2 linked regions of the Coturnix japonica genome follow. The protein of the gene in region 1 purifies or fractionates together with the protein of each later gene. This does not show direct contact. Links are inferred from orthologs where the notes say so. Each region holds a gene or a part of one and is shown in the gene's direction. Other genes may lie near its edges.

Region 1 (3,519 bases):
GAGATTGTCCCGAAAGAAGACAGTTCATGGGGGAATCATAGTTATTTTGGAAAACTTTCTCCTAAAGGAAACTGGTATCCTGGGCTCCATCAGCAGAGGGGTGGCCAGCAGGGGCAGGAGGTGATTGTCCCTCTCTGCTCTGCCCTCTTGAGGCCCCATCTGCAGTGCTGTGTCCAGGTCTGGAGCCCCAATACAAGAAAGGCAGGGAGATGTTGGAGAGGGTCCAGAGGAGCCACAAAGATGCTCAGAGGCTGCAGCACCTTCCCTAAAAAGACAGGCTGAGGGAGCTGGGCTTGTTCAGCATGAAGAGAAGGCTGCGGGGTGACCTCAGTGCAGCCTGCCAGGACCTGAAGGGAGCCTACAGACAGGAGGGGAGTCAGCTCTGTGAAAGGGCAGATAACAGCAGGACAAGGGGAAATGGTTTGGAGTTGAAGGAGGGCAGATTGAGGTTGGATGTCAGGGGGAAGTTGTTTACTGTGAGAGTGGTGAGGTGCTGGAACAGCTGCCCAGAGAGGCTGTGGATGCCCCGTCCATCCCTGGAGGTGTTCAAGGCCAGGTTGGATGGGGCTGTGAGCAGCCTGGTCTAGAGGGAGGTGTCCCTGCTTATAGCCGGGGGTTGGAGCTACATGGTCCTTGAGGTCCCTTGGAATCCAAATCATTGCATGATTCTGTGCTTTACTGCTGCTTGGAATCTTCCCCACAATAAATAATCCAGCTTTTGCTGCTCATCCAGTGAACTGTTTCAACCTGGTACTATTCTACAGACCTCACTAGATCATGTCATGCCTTATTAGATTGCTTAGACCTCCTTTTGTAATTGAAAATATCATTGGGGAACCTTAGAAAGACACAGATATCAGTCTTGCGATCTGGGCCGTGCTGGTGTTGATGCTTGTGGTTTCTCCTTTACCTACAAGTATCAACCAAAGACGTCTGAAAGGTGCTTTGTATCACAGTGCCCTGACGTGCTGTGCTGCGTATCCCTGACTGTTTTATGGGTGAGGAGAAGCTGCAGTACAAATCAAGATGTTCAGCTGAAGTGGAGTCTAAGCCTGCATAAATGAAGTGGGTGACTGTTACTATGTGTAAAGACCAAGACAAAAATGTCTGCCAAATGTAAATGCAAACAGTAGGAAACTTTGTAAAAAATCCCAAAGTTCCAGTCTTTTGATGGTGGTTTTTTTTTCTCTCTTTTCAGACTAAAGAATTTATTGATGGAAGTTTACAAAGTGGAGGTAAATCAGATTGACTTTTCCCTTCATTGACCAGTACATTGCTCTTAAAGCTTTAAAGCAGATGTGTGTGATAGATGCTCTTAAATATGAGGCTTTCTTAAATGTGGGGGGGTTAATTTTGTTTGACTTGAACTGGATTACACACATCCAGAGTCAGCTGTTTTTCCCTTTTGCTTTCAACGGGAAAACAAACCTCTTCATACATCCCTCCTTCATTTGAGACTCATGTGTGCTCTCTAATGGAGAGCTTAAATCTGCATTGTGGTCCTAGAATGCTGATGCTGTTACTCACAGTCCTCAGAGGGTGGGAATCCACGTTTCTGTGTCCCGCAGTAGTGATGGTTAGATTACATGATCTTGTATGTCCTTTCCAACCTTATGATTCTATGATGCACGGAGTGTAGCCAGTAACAGAGTGAAGCGTAACACGCTCTTGTTATTCTTAGGTTGTGCCTTGCTGATGTTTAATTGCTCATAACAACTTAAAACTGCATCTCAAAGAACTTCCTTCCATTTTTACAAGAGCCTTTTTGGCTTTTTTTTCTTCCTCAGGAAAAGTTCTTGTCCATGGAAACGCAGGGATTTCTAGAAGGTAGGAGAACATCCATCCTGCTCGTTCTCATTTTACACCACTGGAATCTATTTTAGTGACTTTGAGAAATGTGTTTTTGTTTTTGTTTCAGTGCTGCCTTAGTTATTGCATACATCATGGAAACATTCGGGGTGAAGTACAGGTAAGAGCAGAGTTTGTGTAGTCCATGATCTGTCCAATAAGGCAGAAGTAAGAGGGTACTTAAGAGCAGAGAAGCAGTCTGGTATATCTGTAGATGTAATGGTTTTAATTCAAGTCACGTGAATTGAAATGGATAATAAATTTGGGGGGAATGCACAGTCCTGTATTGCCGTATAAACCACTTGTTGCCCCTGAGGCTGGGTGAAGGCTTTCACATGGGGAAGACGATTCCATTTCTTTCCCCTGAATATTTGCTTTCACCCTTCCATGAAGAAGCAGGCACCTTTTGCTAATGGCAGCCCACAGACTGGTGCCTTGCTGTCACACTCTGTAAGAGGGACCCCAAGAGGCTGTTACAAGACATGTTTCAAGCTGCATGTTGAAAACAGGCCAGCAAGTAGAAGGCTGGAGATTGGGGTGGGCAGAGAGTGTGTTACAGCTACTGCCTTCTGTTCTGCACAGAAAAGTTCAGTTAAGCAAAGCAGTTGTGAGAAGGCTGCGTGCTTCCCAGAACTGATAACCTGAACTCCTGAAGCCCCACAGATCTGTTACAGTCTGTTTTCCACTGAAGTGTTTTTTGTCTCTTTCTCTTGTTAAGGGATGCGTTTACTTACGTTCAAGAAAGAAGGTTCTGTATTAATCCTAATGCTGGATTTGTCCACCAACTTCAGGTGATGCTTTGTTCTTATTTCTGGGCTTGCATAACTTGGAGAAAGCTGCAGGGAGACCTCATTGTGGCCCTGCAGTACTTGAAGGGAACGTATAAACAGGAGGGGGAATGGCTGTTTGTGAGGGTGGCAGTGATAGGACAAGGGGGAATGGTTTGAAACTGAGACAGGGAAGGTTCAGGCTGGATCTGAGGAGGAAGTTTTTCCCCCAGAGGGTGGTGACGCACTGGAACAGGTTGCCCAAGGAGGCTGTGGATGCCCCATCCCTGCAGGCATTCAAGGCCAGGCTGGATGTGGCTNGGAACAGGTTGCCCAAGGAGGCTGTGGATGCCCCATCCCTGCAGGCATTCAAGGCCAGGCTGGATGTGGCTCTGGGCAGCCTGGGCTGCTGGTTGGTGACCCTGCACACAGCAGGGGGTTGGAACAGGGTGATCATTGTGGGCTTTTGCAACCCAGTGCAGTCTATGATTTTGTTTTTCTTATCACATCTCAAAACTCAGTTGTTGAGTCATCTTGCTACAAAACCAACTTTTCTACTTAGGCTTAATTTTCCTGTCAAAATGGTTATTTGAGTGAATGTCAGGAATCTATAGCTGACCTGGGGAAGAAGATGAACTGGTATCTTAGTTAATTAGATGTAAACTTTAGACAAAGCAAATCTAGGAATGGAAGAGAAATGAAAACAGTTTTGTGCACAGTGGTTAAAGGCTCTTTAAACAGCTTAGTTGGTGGCCAAGGAAAGTGCCAAGTGGGTATTGTGGCACACATCTGTGTTTATTCTTGATGCTTACGTTCATAGATAATGAAGTTCTCAGGTCTGAAACCACATTTTCAGTATCATGGAAATCTCTTTCTTAAAGCCATTTCCTGTCATCCTTTAGAT
Region 2 (3,519 bases), on another chromosome or scaffold:
AAACACTTGTTAAATTGGGGTGTCTGATCAGACACTGAGTGAAATACAAAACAGGCGGAGCATCCAAACTAAAGTATGCCAGTTGACTAAGGGAGGAGATTATTAACTGAAGCAAAGGCATATGGATATTAATTAAAGAACAGAAAACTAAGAGAGTCAGGAACTTTATAAAGCTGTCTTTTACCTTATTCTAAAACTCATTCTTCATTACAACCCGATCCAGTCTACCACAGCAAATAATTTATTCTTAGCTTTTTGTACGTTACAGACTTTTACTCTCTCTGCAGAGTGACTTTAGTATTGTTGGTGCGGTTCTTTATCAACATTTTAACTTACTGTATCATCATTTCTGCGGTAGAAATTCATGTCTTGGTTCAAGGAACATTGGCAGAGTTACTTGGCTGTGGCACGGTGCTGTTGTCAGAGTGCCTGTTGGTTACATTTCTCTTTTTTGAAGAATGCTGAGGTTTTTCTTTATCTGTGCCATTAATATTAATTCCTTCTCACTTTTAAAATTGTGCTTGCCTAAAAAGGCTTTTAAAAGTATAAACTGAAAAAAAAAGCAAACAAGCAGAATAATCATTCCTTTGCTAAAAGTATAACTTCTAAAGAAGGATCTTCTTTAATTGTTATAATTAGTTAATTCAGTCATTTAAGCAGGATGCTCAAAGTGCTAATTTGAACTCGGCATATTCATAAGCTTTCATGGATGGATACAATGGTCCACATAGTTTCTCGTGGCATCATTTTGCTGTTCATGACTGAAGTGCTTTTTAAATAGATTGCTAATTATATCAAATGGATCCTGGAGAGACAAGCAGAGCAAGGAAGAAATGCACTCAAGTCATTTGCAACCCTGATGAACTGTTGTGTCAAACCAGATCTTCGGTGGCTAGCGGACAAATGCTATCTAGTGTTCCAGATGAAAACTTGTAACTGATTTATAACTATCTCATTGTTTTAATGCTCTTATTTCCAACGCTAAATATAGGAGGGGTTTTTTTTGTTCCTCCAGAGTGGTCAGTGGTTCTCGAGATGCTACACTGAGAGTTTGGGACATAGAGACGGGCCAGTGTTTACATGTTCTGATGGGCCACGTAGCTGCAGTTCGATGCGTTCAGTATGACGGAAGAAGGGTTGTAAGTGGTGCATATGATTTTATGGTCAAAGTGTGGGATCCAGAGACCGAGACCTGTCTGCACACGCTGCAAGGGCATACTAACAGAGTCTATTCATTACAGGTAAGTGATTTTCATCTGCTGCTTATATGAACATGGTGTATTTTACCTTCTTTAATAAACTGCAAATCCTTGCTCCAGAATTATACAGACCATGAAAATACTGGGGCTTAGGTCATATTCCCCTTTTCCATTTTTTCATCTTCGTCGTATGTTGCTTTAATTTAGAGGCTGTGGGTTTTTTGTTTTTTTTTTGTTTTTTGTTTTTTGTTTTTTTTTTTAAAGAGTACTTTTAAAGTCCATAATACAATAAAGCCCAAATCTCTGTCCTGGCAAGTTATGTACTTTTCTAGAGCTTGGGATTGTTTGTTAGGCGTTTTTTAAATGTTGTATTGGTTTCCCCAAAAGAAGTTCTAATGTTACTATTTAAATACATTAGCTAATACAGTATTTGAAAATGTGCCAGAAACCCCATTGGATTAATGTTCTGAATTAAGCAAATCTGTTCATCCTTATTTTGTAGTCACATCCTCTAGTTCCAAACTGTAATTCATAGTAAGGATGAACCTAAAACTTAATGCCCTGACTTAAGTATTTGTTTTATTGGTTCTGAGCAAAGGCTGCATCTACAGTTCTGAGGCTTTGTCTGCAGAGACATGTTGCTGTAGATGCAGATCATTCTTGGTACCAGTGTACGGCATGGCCAGTTTACCTCTTGCCTGACTTCACCACAGTTATGCTGGCAAAGTCATACACAGACCTCATGTCAACTCTTCTTACCTTTACTATTCCAAAAGATATCTTGTTCATTCACTGAACATCATTTCCAGGCACTGAAAGGAGAACAAAATTAATGTCATGCATGTGCCTGTTCTCACTGCAGTCTGGCAGAACTCAAAAAAGAAATAAACAACAAATTCAGCTCCCAGCTGGGAAACTGCATTCAGCGTGTAACTAGTCTGGTTGGTGGCACAGAAAATGAAGCTGCAGACGTTTTTAATAAATGTTATCATCAAAAGGTGCTTTTCACCATAATAGATCAAATGGTTTTCTATTTTAAAATGTATAGCAAAATTTATCAAAAATCACCATCCCTTCTCCTTCGTTCATGGGCTGCGGAGTATTTGAGACAAGCAGCAAACAGGTTAAAAATGCTGCACCACCTACCTCATATTATGGTTTTATCTGCAGCAGTTTGAGAACAGTGCACGTTATCTTCACTGGTGGCTCTTGTTCCAGTTGGCAAATATAAGTGTCTTACTCTACTAATGGAGTAGTAGAGGGTCAAGTAATTGGGTTATGTTGATCATGCTGGTAGTATTTATAGCTTGTAAGTGGAACTTGGAGAGGCAGAAGGCTACAGGTGCTTAGAGCTTTAGGACTTTCAAGTTTGTTGAAATTGAAAGGTAAGCTCCTGCTGAAACAGCCCATGAGTAGAATAATGAGGCTGAACAGTGTGCCTGTCTTCCCCACTCCTGCCCCATTGTGAATTCTCTTACGTTTCAGTATTTCCCCATTTGCGACCCCCCCAGACAATTGTTAGAGATCTTTAATGCCACAGTTTAAGAGTACTAATCCGGTTGCCTTTTCTTAGTCACCTTTCTCAGTTGCCTTTGTCATAGTCCACAGATTGTCAGGACCCTCAGAAAACACAGTACAGCCACTGATCTGAACCACTGTCTGTTTAACTGCAGCAATATTGAAGTAGTTTGTCTTTACACTCAGCCTTAAGGCTTTCTTTCTGAATACTTTATGCAAGTAGAATACAGGTAAATGACAGGAGAGAGGAGGTTTTTTTTTTTGTGTTTTTTCTTTTTTGCATCAGTCTTTCTTTAAGTCCAGCTTAGGAAAGAAAAACATTCTGTAGTGTTCCTTGCAGCAAGTGTGCTGGCTGCTCACCATTCCTGATCCATTTATCCAAAGTCAAATTAGTTCACATGCTTTTTTGAAAGCATAGTGCAGAAAACAGGATGCAAAATTCTAGTCAAAGTCTTAGCAATGCCTGCTGTAATGGAGAAGTTACTTTATGTATATTGTGTAGCATATCCCTATTTTGGATACCAGAGTGTGTGTTTTTTTAGTGTATTTTCACTGGAACTGCAATGTATTCCAGTCAGCAGGCTGCACGTGCCAGTTGCTCTCTAAATCTTCTGAACCAAAGTGTCACTCAGCCATGACTGCAGGTAGAGATCTGAGGTGTTCTAAGATGCAAGAGGTTTTACAAAAAGAAGCAGTCGGATAGCCGGGTTCTTTCTTCTCTTGTTACTAGATACCAGCAAGCCCACATGGACAAGTAGTGCTAGTTTGCTCTGGCTATCCCAGGCTGCAGTTTTACCCTTAT

The links.
Region 2: the proteins of STYX (region 1) and FBXW7 purify together in Homo sapiens (affinity purification with western blotting; 4 studies listed by BioGRID and IntAct, with this or other methods). This does not show direct contact. The link is inferred for Coturnix japonica from reciprocal best matches to the Homo sapiens genes STYX and FBXW7.

What each region holds. Positions count from the first base shown.
Region 1 is NC_029520.1:52,842,228-52,845,746, forward strand, and holds part of STYX (serine/threonine/tyrosine-interacting protein), read left to right. Parts: intron 1-1,198; coding exon 1,199-1,235; intron 1,236-1,787; coding exon 1,788-1,827; intron 1,828-1,918; coding exon 1,919-1,969; intron 1,970-2,566; coding exon 2,567-2,639; intron 2,640-3,519. UniProt on the Homo sapiens protein: Catalytically inactive phosphatase. Acts as a nuclear anchor for MAPK1/MAPK3 (ERK1/ERK2). Modulates cell-fate decisions and cell migration by spatiotemporal regulation of MAPK1/MAPK3 (ERK1/ERK2).
Region 2 is NC_029519.1:29,734,106-29,737,624, reverse strand, and holds part of FBXW7 (F-box/WD repeat-containing protein 7), read left to right. Parts: intron 1-1,015; coding exon 1,016-1,241; intron 1,242-3,519. UniProt on the Homo sapiens protein: Substrate recognition component of a SCF (SKP1-CUL1-F-box protein) E3 ubiquitin-protein ligase complex which mediates the ubiquitination and subsequent proteasomal degradation of target proteins.